2 linked regions of the Struthio camelus genome follow. The protein of the gene in region 2 binds, or shares a complex with, the protein of the main gene of each other region. Links are inferred from orthologs where the notes say so. Each region holds a gene or a part of one and is shown on either strand. Other genes may lie near its edges.

Evidence for each region. Proteins that work in one complex are often made in the same cells at the same time.
Region 1: the proteins of KIDINS220 (region 2) and XPR1 are in contact, whole or in part, in a cryo-EM structure (PDB 9JXQ), measured with the Homo sapiens proteins. The link is inferred for Struthio camelus from reciprocal best matches to the Homo sapiens genes KIDINS220 and XPR1. Residues at the interface, in NP_065789.1 of Homo sapiens: Glu36, Cys37, Gln39, Asp70, Trp72, Met102, Trp105, Trp110, Tyr113, Lys114, Val138, Ile142, Trp143, Gly146, Arg147, Ser166, Asp167, Lys168, Tyr169, Gly170, Trp176, Arg179, Lys180, Gln198, Glu199, Gly200, Ala201, Ser203, Lys234, Arg267; in NP_004727.2 of Homo sapiens: Leu95, Lys189, Lys190, Gln193, Glu197, Ala200, Asn204, Glu205, Ala636, Asp637, Asp638, Leu641, Leu642, Gln644, Met645, Met646, Asp647, Gln648, Asp649, Asp650, Val652, Arg653, Asn654, Arg655.

What each region holds. Positions count from the first base shown.
Region 1 is NC_090949.1:6,778,793-6,785,825, reverse strand, and holds the start of XPR1 (solute carrier family 53 member 1), read right to left. Parts: upstream 3,011-7,033; 5' UTR 1-3,010. UniProt on the Homo sapiens protein: Inorganic ion transporter that mediates phosphate ion export across plasma membrane.
Region 2 is NC_090944.1:25,362,338-25,369,387, reverse strand, and holds the start of KIDINS220 (kinase D-interacting substrate of 220 kDa), read right to left. Parts: upstream 3,001-7,050; 5' UTR 2,849-3,000; intron 1-2,848. UniProt on the Homo sapiens protein: Promotes a prolonged MAP-kinase signaling by neurotrophins through activation of a Rap1-dependent mechanism. Provides a docking site for the CRKL-C3G complex, resulting in Rap1-dependent sustained ERK activation.

The DNA.
Region 1 (7,033 bases), on a different chromosome or scaffold from region 2:
CGAGGCTGGGCTGAGCTTTGAGCGAAAGGCTCCTTCGAAAGGCACCAGTTACCGAGGCGCTGCTGAGCGCACCTCGACCGTCTGTGCCGGGCGGTGTTAAACAACCCATGTCCTAGAGCGTGACTACATTTTGCACGAGGACGTGCAGGCACGCGCTTCCTCTTCCGCTTTCTTTTCGGACTTTTGCCGGCAGCCAGCTGGTGTTTTTCCCCTTCTCCCCGTTCCTCTTTCTTGCTGCACCGCGACCGGCTCTGCGCTCCTTCGGGTTTTCGGCCCGGCCCCGGAGCAAGCGGCGGCAGCCCCGGCACAGCTCTAATTTGGCTCCTGCGCGCATCAGCTCCCGGCGGACCGGGCTGCCCGCCCGGCCGGTGGTTGGCAGGGGACCGGGACCCGGCGCTGGGCTGCAGCTGTTGAGCCGGAGATTTGATCCCCTCCGGCAGCCGGGCGAGAAGCGGGTCTGGGTGGAGACGCGGCGCCTCGGCGGCGGATGCGATGGGCAGCCCCGCCGGGCTTCTCCTCCCTGCGGACGGCAGTCCCCGGGGGCCTCCCTTGCCTGCCGTGGGGAGGGAGAGGGTGCCCTCGCCCCCCACCCCGGGCGTCCGCTTGGGGCTGCTCCCTTGGGATGGGACGGGGACAAGTGGGGCAGGGAGAGCGGGGGGCGCTTGGGAGGGGCGAGACGGGGCGGGGGGGAGAGAAGGGCATGGAGGGGTATCGGCCAGGGAAAAGGGTGAGAACGAGGAAGAAGGGGAAGAGTAGAAGAAAACGCAGGAAGGATGAGAAAGAATTTAGGGAGGAGGAAAATTAGGCCACAAAAAGCCGGGGGTGGAAGGAAAAGAGAGAAAGGACACCGCAAAGAAAAAGGGAGATTTCTCCGAAAGTTACGTAAAACACACAGAGCCTGTTGCCTTTCACAAGCCATCGCCTTCGCCCCACGCGGTCGCAAAGGCGCTGTCCGGGGGCGCCGGGCTCAGCCCCCTCGCTGGAGCGGGGTAAGGCACGGCGGGGCTACCAGCAAGCCCACCCGCCCAGAGGCGCCGCTGCCCTTTAAAGCACGGATATCCCGAGGATCTGGAGCAATCGGTGCTGTGTTATAACGCAGAAGGTCAGGTCTCTCCCTTTGCACGGCTCAGGCGACGCAAAGCCTCCCGGAAACCGCTTTGTGCTCGGCCTCGGGCATCTCCGGCGCCTATGGAGGGCTGCATATTGGCGGGGCGTACGTCGTCCTCTCCTGCCCGGGTTGCACGCGGTCCGACGGCTCTTCGGCGGTGCTCTGCCCATCGTCTCCCCTCGCCCAGGGCTCGCTGGGTCTGGAAAGAAACAAATGCTCCTGTTCCAGCCGAAAGCCCAGGGGCTCTTTGCATTTCAGCTTTACTCCGCGCCGTGTTGCACGGCTACGCAGAGCAAAACTCACACTGACTTTAGCCTGAGCACGCGCCGACCGTCAGCGCACAGAGCTCACTTGCTGCAGTGATTTCGCGGGATGCTACTGTCAGCGGCCCAGGGACCTCTGATTTGTGAGCGCTCTTGCTTGCTCTGAGATTTACCCAGCAGCAAGAGCGGAACGTGCGGCAGCGACGTCCGAGCTCGCTGACACCATCTTTTAATTACGTTTGCAGAAAACCATTTAATGAATAGAGCTTTAGCGCCCTTCATCAGAAGCTTCACACTCAGCGACCTCCCCAGTACTGACCTTAAGGGAGAGCTAACCACTATGTCACAGCTTGACTAACATTTAACAGGTCACCAGCTTTTGATGCGTTACCGTCGCAAACTTGTACCAGATGAAATCACTTCGCGCCTGACTCGGCTGCCGCTCCGAGCAGCACCGAGTTCAGCGGGAGCAGGCGTGAGAGGTGGGCCTCCGCAGTTTCGACCCTTTGAACCTAGTAGAGCTTCCAGAGATAACCTGCTACATGGGGAACAAGAACAGATTCTGAAATAAATATTCTCTTTAATATTTACTGGGTGCATTGTATGAGATCCGTACCGCACCTTGTGATGCGTGGCACGTGAGTATCTTGTGCGACTATGGCCTGCAAATTCAGCAACGGAAAATAATTTGTGATCTTCCCTTCCCTTTGTCCCTTGGATATTTCTCTACCCCAACGTAAAGCAGGTAGGAAATGCTATTTATTCCTATTATACTAGCACAGGCGACGACAGCAGAGGTAGAAGAGAGGCTGGGATCGTTCTTACCAACCCTCACCATGTTCTGTAGCAACAGGTCAGTTTGCTTAAATATCTGATTGGCCTAAATCTGCCTCCCGTGTCAGATGTGCTTTGGGAGCACGCTTGGCCGAGGAACAATGTTTTTTGCTGCTCCGCTGGGACTAGGGGCTTTCCTAGTCTTCTAAACATTTCAAACCTTCCAGCTCCGCACATCTAGCGACTAAGGGAAGGAAGTAAACACGAGGGGAGGAGGAGCGCTAAATAAAAGAGGAAGGGCCACGCGCTCAGGCCTCCGCTCTCTTCTGCCTGGAGCTGGGGTCTGGATGGCAGGAGACATCCCTGCTGAGGATGGACACAGATCGCAGCTCCCGACGCCTCGTGTCCAGAGCACGTCCACCTCTGGGCCTAGACCTTGCTGCCCCTCGCAGAGGGCAGGACGCTCTGCGGCTCCGCTCTGCACCCGGGAGAAGGTCGGACTGCGGCGGAGCCGGGTGTCAAAGGGAGACTAGGGCTCCCTTCGCGCTGCTGGGCAAACCCAGCCTTTGCTGTAAAGCAGAGCAGCTTCAGAGCTGCTAAGCTCTGCCTCCCCTCTCCCGCTTCCCAGCGGCGTTAAGTCATGCTGTTGTGACTGTACGGCACGAAGGGCCTTTGCTCGGCCCAGGCGCCCACGTTCCTCTGATCCTTCTCTCTCTCTTTCCCAGGAACTGATTTGCGCTGTGATTTTCTCCCATGCTGTTTTAGCTAGGAGAAAATACAAGAAACAACATTATTTGCATTTTTAAACCGAGCAAGAAGAATTTAGGAGTGGGCTTTCTGCCAGCGCAGTCTGGCACTTGCTTTGTTGAGAGCGTATAGAATAATTTATAAATAGCATCTTTAAAAAAATAATTGCATTTTTAAAGATCCTGCTTTGCTGGGGAGAAACAGTCTTCAGAAGAGGCTTTAGAGAAACAGTCTTTCAGAGGGGAAATTTTCCTTAACGGCATTGACAAAATCAGGAAGAAGAAGGTTCTGCAAAGCAGGAGACAACGCACAACACCCACAGACAACTATTCCTAGGCCCTTCTTCTGAACAAAGCAGCCGGCCTCCTCCCCGGGCATCCGACCTTTAAAGCCACCTGGCTGTTTAAAGGGTTGGTTTGTCTCAGGAGGGGACATTTCGAATGGGCCGTTGCTCACACCTCCTTCCTTCGAAACCAGCAGGTCAAAAGCAGGGGGAGCCGCGAAGATGTTGCGGCAAACTCATCTCCCCGCCACCAAAACCTCATTGGGGGCTCATTGGGGGGGGGGGGGGGGCGGAAAAAAAAAGAGGCTGACGCTGGGAGGACGTGAGCACCGGCTATTTTCTCCGGCAGGAGCGCCAGCAACGTGCCCCCGGCCTCAGGCCTAACGAAAGGTACGGCGAAGCCGCGGCCTCCCGCGAAGCCCTGGCTTGCAGAAACGGGCTGGCGAGGCAGGGGAGCGGCGGAAAACGGCTATTTTCTGCCTCGCAGGGAAGAAGCGGCCGTGCCGAGGCAATCACTTCTCGTTCTGGCGGGGGAGCGGGTGCTTCGCTGCCGCAGCTGGGGAGGGAGGGGAGATAAATGAACGCGGAAACGAAAGCAGGGCAGTGGCGAGCTTGGCGCGGAGCGACGCAGGGATTTAGCAAATCGCACCAGGAGACACAGCGCTGCCTGGGAGCATCGGCAGAGAGGCAGCCCGGGCCTCCCGGTGCGCGCGCGCCGCGGGGCCCGCCGGAGGCGCGTTCGCCGCTCCCGTTAGGTGCTTTTATCGCTACCGTTCTGGAGAAACGCGATCGGTATATCAGATTTCCTAGAGACAGCTGTGCAAAACGCACAAATCCTCCGGCAGCCTGAGCTGGAGCTATTGATTTGCCGTGCGTTCTCCCGCCCGCCACGGGTGGGGACGGGTGGAGGACGAGGGAGCGATTACGAGCATCAGAAACCAGAGGGTTTTCCAGTGCCCGGGGCGCAGGCAACGCACACGGTCAGATCAGGAGCGGTGCAGCCTAATTCGCTGCGGTCCGTTGCAACGTTTGTACGCTCGGGCAACCTGCCTGCAGCGGTATCTCCATGCCAAGAGAAGCGGTGGTTACCGGGCAGTGATAACGCACTTCCTGGGCCTGATTCCCCTGGCAGGGGGGTCAGCACGGATCTCGCCTCTTCCAAGCGCTCCGCAAGGAGCCAGGAGCCAGGAGCCATAACCTCGGACGGCTCTCCCCAGCTGGGTAGGATGACGGCTTTGTCCCCATTTCGGAGGGCCACCACGCGTCGAGAGCCAAGGGGACGCCTCTGACCGCAGGTGTGCCCCGTTTCACGTGGTCTGAATGCGACCCATCGAGGCTCGAGCTGGCTGCCGAGGTGGATTTAGGACTCGGCTCCCAACAGCTGGGGAAGCACGAGCAGGAGAGCACCAGTGGGGAAACCAGGCATGGGGCATCAAAAGCCTACGGGCACAGGGCCTCTGAGCCGCCTGTGTGCACCCGCCATGCCCTGCAGGGCTGATGTATCGCCTCCCCCGGGCTCTCCGGGGCAAGATTCGACCCATACTTTGCTCAGCCAGTAATGAAGCACCTGATCTAGAAAGTCCCAAGGTCAGGCAGCAGCTCACCTCTGGCTGCACGCCCACGTGTGGAAGCGCGGATATTATTAAAACCCACATGGATGCTCAAACGCAGCCCGAAAGGCCAAAACAACAGCGCGTCCTCTTGCCGGCCAGGCTGCCCCGGCAGGCTGCGTTTTTAGGAGAGGGTGGCTGCCTCTGATCTTGACGTTACGACCACGAAGAGGCTGACCTTTCCCAGGGGCTGACTGACGGCCAACGTATGCAGGGCCGCAGCGGCAAGCATGCGGCGCCTCCTCATTGCTTGCATGCTTCCCCTGGGGTTTGCTTGGGATCACACGGATACCTCCTCTGGAAACCCAGCCAGGGAGTCATCGCTGATTGGAAGGAAAAGTAGCTGACGAAAATAGGGAAGCTGCACCCAGGAGGGAAGCTAATCCCTCGGCGAAAGCGTGGCCACTAAGGGATTGCTTTCCTCTGCCTTTGGCTCTGCTCGAGCTGCTCCTCACCTTCCCCCAGGCAAAGCCGATCCAGGTCAGCCGAGCCCGCGCGTCTGCCTGCAGCGTCCTCCTTCCTCTTCTCCGGGCTTCAAATGCATTTCACTCTCGCTGCTGCCTTTGCGCGGCGCAGCCCGGGAACACGCCGCCTGGGAAGGCTGCGAAATCCCCGTCCCGGGAGATTTTCAAGAGCCGTTCAGGCAAACATCTGTCAAGACAGTTTAGGTCAAACTGATCCTACCCGGGGCTGGGGAGACAGCCAGGAAGATCACAGAATCACAGAATCACAGAATGGCCGAGGTTGGCAGGGACCTCTGGAGATCACCTAGTCCAACCCCCCTGCTCAAGCAGGGTCCTCTAGAGCACATCGCCCAGGATCGCGTCCAGGCAGGTTTTGAATATCTCCAGCGAAGGAGACTCCACCACCTCTCTGGGCAACCTGGTCCAGGGCTCAGTCACCCTCACAGTCGAGAAGTTTGTCCTCACGTTCGCACGGGGCTTCCTGTGGTTCAGTTTATGCCCGTTGCCTCTTGTCCTGTCGCTGGGCACCACGGGGAAGAGTCTGGCCCCGCCCTCGCAACGCACCCCCCTCCCTTCAGATACTTGTACACATGGATCAGGTCACCTCTCAGTCTTCTCTTCTCCAGGCTGAACAGGCCCAGCTCTCGCAGCCTTCCTTCATAGGAGAGATGCTCCAGTCCCCTCATCATCTTGGTAGCCCTCCGCTGGACTCTCTCCAGTAGTGCCATCTCTCTCTTGTACTGGGGAGCCACGTCTCTCTTGTACTGGGAATTGGACACAGTACTCCAGATGTGGCCTCACCAGGGCAGAGTAGAGGGGCAGGCAACACTCGACCTGCTGGCAACACTCTTCCTCATGCACCCGAGGATCCCCTTGGCCTTCTTGGCCACAAGGGCACATTGATCTTGGCAAGTTGCTCGCGTTCCCGCTTCTGCGACGCCCCGGCTGGCGTGCCAGCGTCTTCCTGGCCGTGCCGTCTCGCCTGCCTCCTGGCGGGACCCGCCGTACGGGGTGGGGGCAAGTACTTGTGCAAGGACTGCCTGCACGGAGCTGGGCTGGCGGCTGGCTCGGCCGGGGACAACCGCCATCGCATGTTCCCCCGGCCCCTGGCAGAGCTGGTGGTGTTGCCCGGGGCCGGGGATGCTGCCGCCCGCCTCCCGATGGCCCTGCTGGCGGCCGGCTCCTTGGCAGGCCAGGGGCACGGCGCCCCCGGGGCTCGGACAGGCAGGACGGCTCCCGCGGGAGAAGCAGTGGCCGGCTCGCGTAGCCAACGCCGCCGTCACCTTTGCGTAGAGGAAACGCTCGATACGGGCGTATCTCCGCTTATCGAAAGCGCCCGCCGTGCTGCAGACGCGCGCGGAGCTGCAACAGGCACAAAGCAAGCGGCCGCCTGCCCTTTCCAGCGCCGCCGGGATAACAAACCAGCTCAGGGGAGCTAAGTCCCCAAACCGGCCGGCAACACGCAAGCGGCGGCAGCCGGCAGGAAGAAAGCGGCCGCGGGCAGAGCCGGCCTGCGGCGCTGCTACCTGAGCCAGGCGCCCTGCGAAAGGGGGTTTGGCTCCCCGGCGCGGCACCAGCTTGAAGTACCGGCTCCCCTGCTCCTGCCCTGCCCGCGGCCCTCGGGCAGACGTTAGGCGGCCGGTGAGCGGGGCGCGGGAGCCGGGGTGAGCCCTGCGGCGCCCGCTGGGGAGCAGGGCACAGCTCCCTTCGCCTTCCCCGGGGTCGACAGCTGCCCGTGGATGCGCATCAGAGCTGCCGTACAGATGCTGCGCAGCTGGCGAGGG
Region 2 (7,050 bases):
CCATTCTGTGATACTTTCTATAAGGGACTGAGTCAACCAGGATTTTGTTTAAATAACAGATTTTCACAACAGTTTATATGAGATGCTAAATAATTAACTGGCACTCAGAGGTAGGAAAAAATACTAAATGTACATTTCTGCCAGAAGTTCAATTCTGACTAATAACCTCATGATTTTCAGCTTTTCCTTATCATTCGGAAGAATATCTTCTACGTCTCTTACCCACACTCCTTTAATCCAGATTTTTAAAAAAAGCTTTAATAGACCACTTCACCTTTTCATTTACTTTATACCAGAGAAGAGAGAATTAGTAAATATTAAGAGAGACAAAAAAAGACAGCTAGAGATGCAGACATTTTTAAGTTGGAATCTGTACTTAAATATAATGAAGAAAAAAAGTCTGCACAAAAGGAGATCACTACAACTGTAATTAGCGACTGTGCATATTAGTAAACAGTAAGAAATATAAGAAATTGGAAGTATGGAACTCATTCCGTCCAATTTTTCCCATTTTAGGCACCTCCTAATTTAAAATATTACAGTAATGGGATTTTTTTTAAACAAGAAAATCAAGAGTGGAGATGACACACACAAGGCTGGATAGTTATATATTTAAACAAAAAGTCACTATCGCAATCTGATAACGAACATCAGATATGTTTACATTCTATCCTGATTAAAAAGATCAACTAAAAGAAAAAATTGTAAAGTAACTCATAGTGGTATAGTGGTTACCAGAGAAACAAATCTATCTTTAAGACAGAAAGTAAATAAGTTCAGTGAACAGTAAGTTATAGCTCAGTACATCTGAATTTCAGGAGAAAGTTCAACTTCCTTATAAAATAAAAATACTTAGTGCTACAAAGTACTATTTTAGGTTTTAAACACTTCAAATAAAAGAAAGTAAAGCAAAAAAGGCATCAGCGTTAAGCTTTTTGAAAAAATTATTCCAACAAATATAAATCAATTCAGTGAGAACCTGTACAAAACCCTCATAAAAGCAAAGAAATCTACAGCAGAGTTTTTTTTAATCACATTGCTTCACATGCCCAATACTTCTCTGAATCATAAGATGAAGATTTTGTTAGTCACAGTCACAAATTCTATGATAAAAACCTAACCTTTCAGGTATTTTTCACTTCGGAAAAAGTTGGCTGTGATCATGATCTATTAAATTATTTTTGAATTAATATTAATTAATATTTAATTAATATTTCAGAAATAGTGGCATTTTCAGTATAACTGAATTTCTGAAATTATTTTAAACGACTGTTGCAGAACAAAGAATAAACGATGACAGCATCAAAGGTCATAAACTGAAGGTTCATTAAAATGAGTTTTGAAGCACTGAAGGCTATCCATACAGATTAGCCTTCTGGCCAAATTACCGCCCCTTGTCTAACACTTGCTGCCTCTTCCTCTTGTGTTTTGTCTAACAGAAGACCCCATGATTTCTCCTTTGTACGTGCATCCCTCTGAAGAAAAAGGAGAAACAAAACTAAATTTTATAAGGTATTTTGAGTAGGTAACTTGTTATTTATTTGGTCTGCTGTGGAAACAAGGCTTAAATACAAAGTATTTAATACTCTACGTGTATACGTCTATCCATAACAGCCTCTAAACTCACTGGCCAACATTACCTACACTTAACAGAATAACAGATATTTCAGGATTTAGTTCCTGTAAGTCTGTGAGAACACCTTCCCCCTGAAAAAGAGAGTGCAGCATGAGATGAAAACTTGTTGGAAACATTTTCTTCACAAACCTTTAACCCTGAGAAAAAATTCAACAGAACTAAGTTTATTAGTTTAGTCTTATTTTAAAATTGGATGATACCAAGTTGACAAGCTTCTTAATTCCTCACATGCAGCAGTAACATCCATAGCATAGATATCTGTACTATTCATAGCAATTCCACTGAACAATCCTTACAGTCACTCGATGTGACATAACATTTCCACCACAAAATGACGGACAACTACTGCGAAAATTATTTCAGTTCTAAGCTGCATCTTCAAACAGATTACCATTTCAAAAGCCTATCCAGTAAACAAAAATAGGGTGGACTTTTCTGTAAAATCCTGGCCTCATAAAAACCTCCTGAAATCCTTCCACTTCACTGTTTGACAGGTGGTGGGCAGTAACTAATTCCATGATTCAATCAGTTTGTCACCAATGCACGTAACATACTAGTGTATCACCCCCACATTAATCCATGGTCAGAAGTCAGAGATGAGAAACCACTTTACTCAACCAATTTTTCAGCAAATGAAAAGCAGCGGACCCCTGTCCCAAACGCTTTAAATACTCAAACTCAGCCCCTTTACCTCAGAAACTAAAAACAAAACTTTGCTCATAGGTCAGTCTATATATTTTGCTTACAGGTCTGTCTTTCCGAGTTAGCAATGAGACAAAAACGGTAAAAGAGGCTCCCCCTTCTCCCGGCGCGGGCAGACAGCTACATCTCACCGTGCCTGCGGCACTCCTGGAGTCTGTTCTATTCCCACCGCCGTGCAGGAGAGGGAGGATTTCAGGGCCGGCTGAGCGGCCATGGCGGTGCGCGCACCTACACAAAGAGGGGACCTTTCGGAGCGCTGGCAACACGCCACGCACCGCTGCTACTGCCAGAAACACTCAGCGGAGCCCGAGGGGCAGGCCCGGGCCGAGCGAGACCCCGGCCCGCTCCGCGGGGCGCGCACACACACACGGCGGCCGGCCCCGCCGCTGGGCGGGGGCGGCGGCAAGGGCCCCCGCGGCGCCCTTTGTTTGGCAGCTCCAAGCGGCGCCCTCCCACCGCGGCTGGCCGACCCTGTCCTGCCCCGCTCCCCTCTCTCCTCTCGCCGCTCACCCCAAAGCCGGCGGGACTCGGCCCCTGCGGGCGGCTCCCCTGGCCCAGGCAGGGACTGACAGGGAGGCAGCGGCTCGCAGCGCTCCTCACATTCCCCTGGCAGCGGCGGCCATCTTACTTCTCTCTGCCGTCCTCCCCCCTCCCCTTCCCTCGCCGGGCTGGTCACGTGAGCGCGGCCGGGGCGGGGGCGCCGGTCGCACCCCGGCGGGAGGGCGCACCCCTCGCCGCCTGCCCCCGCCGCAACTGCGGGCCGGGCGTGGAGGGGCCCTGCTGTGCCCTAGAGACGCAGCCGGGGGGCCGGCGGGGGCGGCCAGGCTGCCCTGCCCTGCCCTGCCCCTGTCCCTGCCCGGCGGAGGGCTACACCCGGGCATGAGGAGCCTCTCGATGAATAGCCAGCAGGGCGGGCGCGGCAGTAACCGCCTTATAATCGGCTAATGACGGGTTAGCTCCCAACGCTCGTGGGGACCCGTAAAACCCTGCCCGGGAGCCCTGGCAGGGCTGAGTCACCGCCGTCAGCGCCCGTGCAGCGCGCGTGCAGACGGCCCCGCGAGCCCGCCCAACGGCTCCGGGCGGCGGTTGAGGCGGCGGCGGCCCCCCGCGAGCCCGCCCAACGGCTCCGGGCGGCGGTTGAGGCGGCGGCGGCCCCCCGCGAGCCCATCCAAAAGAGCATTGCTCACAGAGACGGTACACATAAGCCATTTAAGGGATCATTAATTTTTGCACCTACTACAGGCTATTTTGCCAAGGCAGAACATCTCTCCCTCACATTATAAACTTGACATTGCGTCTGACCTCCCCAACAAGTTAGCAGGAATAGGGTCTTGACCGAGCTCGTGCATTGCCATAAAGGTTAGCCAAAGTACAAGTGCAAGGCCAGCTCTATGTACTTCAAGGTGGACATTTCTTAGAGATGCCACCAAAGTGGAGAGCGTCTGAAACGCATAGTGCTTTTACTTTAGCATTCATCCTCAGAGAGGATGTTTTCTAAAAGCAAGAAGAAAGGTTTTTTGTTAAAAATGGCCACCTGATGAATAAGAGTGTTTCTCTACCAGCGGAAGTCCTCACCTGCAGTTTAACATGGAAGAAATCTCACCTCAACACGCTGCAGACAACACAGGACAAAGTTCACCTCAACAAAGGACAAAGTTCAGAGCTGCTCTTAACTCAGCATCTGTCAAACCTAGCCCCGGACTGCTTTCAGGCTCCAAAGCAGTTTCTCAAATATTTTTAAAATTCACTTCACTGTGCCGGCGGATTTGTACATTGGGTCATAAATGGCTTTGGACTTCCTATGCAATTTCCAACATGTCTTACAACCGTGCTAGTGGCATTCTTCAACTCTGTACCTTCTGCCATGGTAAAATACACCCAGTGACTGTAGAAATATGCCCTTTCATCTTGTGTACAATTCAAACCCATAACAATAGATTCGTCTTTATTTAATGACAGAATGCATTGGGACAACTGGATCAGAGATGCTCTGTAATGACTATAGTAATAATGTCTCCTTGACAGACCATGGAACGTAGTTTAAACCTGGGATGATAACAAACCAGTAAAGAACCAGTTCTTCAGGGAGTATAGGCCTTATACTGTTACTGTAAGGATTCCTAAAGATCAAAGTGTTCATTCAAAATCCTCACAGCGCTGGGATTGTCATCTCTTTAAACAGTTTGCATTGTTAGCTTCCTAAAGACACGCTACACTGAGTTTTTGAAAAAACAATAGAGGTTCTTGAGATAATAGCAAAGATCCTCGCACCCAAATGAGATCAACAAGTTTTCCTTACACACACAAAACGAAACACTAATACAAGGAAAAAAGCGAGTTCCACTAAAATCAAAAGCTAAATCCACTTAGATCTACAGCAAAACATCGATTCAGCTGAAAGGCTGGGAGGAATTAAAGCACATTCAGTGCTTACGTGACACGCGCTGCTCTAATTTATGCCATAGACACGTGATACGAAAAGACGGAGGATGAATGAGCACTTTTCAACGCAGCAGAAACTGCAGGGATTCAATCTAAACTACTTGAATTTATGCACATGGACCATCATTCAAAGATGGTCCCGATGTGTCAATCATCTACCTGGTCTTGTGTATTTGTGTATTATAAGAGAAACTGTAATATAATGAGATTGCTTATTTTAGTCTCCTGAGGTCTATGGATTCTCAAACGTTTTCAGAGTTTTTTTTCTACACGAGCTTACACAAACAGCATATATTAGTCTTTCACCTCATGATCTCCTCTTTGTCTTAAGTTCTTATTCTAACAACATAGCTTTACCCATATCACATTCTAGCTGTGTTCTCACCTCACAGCCACAAATTTGTCAGGCAGAGGCAGTAGCTCCTCCTGCGTATGAGGGAACTAAACACACACTGGGGGTGGCAAAACAGGGAAGGCAGAGCTGTATCATCCCTCACTTTCTTCCCCTTTCAATACAGATGGATCCATCTCTCTTGTCCTCTTCCACTTGTACATTGCTTTTTACATGGGGAACAACATATTCCCATCAATGATTAATTCACATAAGAGAACAAACCCTAGCCCCATTGAAGGGTTGAAATTGTAATCCAGTTGGGTTAGGATTTCACAGAAAGTATTTCCATAAAACACTTTTTTTTTTTTGTTCAGTAAAGCACATAATCTCTCAACAGGCATCCCAAAAACTTTTAATTTGACATATTGCTAATGTATAGTTTGAATGACGTCGTTAAAATTTCAGAGTAGAATTTTTCCAGATATTTAGAAATGTTTGGTTTTTATTGATGTGCTATAAAAAGGTAGTACATGTTGACATTTGTAAATTGGTGTAGTAGAGCATATACTCCAACAAAATTAAAATTTTCTTCCAACCAAGTATTTTCTCTTTTCTCCTTTCCACTTTCCCCGTCTTCTTCAGGATTTACACTTGAACAGCTCAACTTAAAAAATTGCGGCTAAGATCTTTCATGACTAAAAAGATGACACATATGGAAAAAAGGTCCCACTACAGATGCAACTTATTCCTGAAGCAACCTGATCTGAAAGTCGGTTTGTTACCACAAATCAGCTAGTTGCATTTAGAGTTCTCTGGATATCAGCCAAAGAGAGACATAAATGTGAGAATTCACAACAGACTGGTGCTGAGAAAGATTCATAATCCCCTGTCTGATAGACCTCTACACCCTGCAATAACTTCATAGCATCTCAGCCAACTTTAAAAAACAAATATTTAACAAGTACCCTCGCACCTAGCAGCTAAACGTTAGTTTAAACATCTAACACCTGACATCACTCAGAATCAGAATCTAACACCAGTTCAAATAACAGGTCAAGAAGAAAACATTAGAAAACAACTCTTAGCAGTACCCAAAAGTGCATGAGACCAATGAAATAATTTGTACAATGAAGCAAAGCTACTGTATATAATCCCAAAGCACTATCAGCAGCAAGAAAAACAACATGATTAACAAAGCAGCCGCTCAGTTTCACAAAAATGGGCATTTCATTCCTTACCCTTTTGAATAGGTTTGTGTCATCCAAGTCTGAAGATGCTTTTATCTGCTCACCGCATGCTTTTAGCTTGGCATAGCTGCAGCTCTCCGTCCTTATCTCTTGGGTGTGCAATGCTTCCAAATCATGGATGAAATTTAGCAACACTTTTGAAAAACATGACTTTTTTTGAAGTAATTATTGACCTTTTTGTGGATCCTCCCTTATAATAGATGCACCATTCTTAATCTTTAATTTTTAAACAACTGAAGTTGTTCTTAACTGCTATAGTAACTGTCACCAGCACACAATTGTCCCACTATTTCAGATGTCAATACCTGACCAATACAGACACATCCATTAAAAAATGGCTACTGTGCTTTAATAATTATACAAGATTATTATTCTACTGATTATAATTACTACAGTCCTTAAACTGCTTTGTTTCCTTGCTTTTCTGATTTCTTTAACCTACATTGATCCAAATCATGACCACTTAACATGTGTATTTTTGTCTTCCGATGTGTCCTCAAAAGCCTTCGTATGGAAAGATGCTACTCTGTGACAGAGCACGCAGGCAGTCACATTACTCATTTTGTAATGGAGAGATCTTTTGCTGCTATAGCTTATTTCACTTGGAAAGATGGTGAGTAACCCATGCAGAGAAATAACTCTTTTGCTCCTATAAATGACCTTTCCAATGAAGAATTGCAAGATGTAAA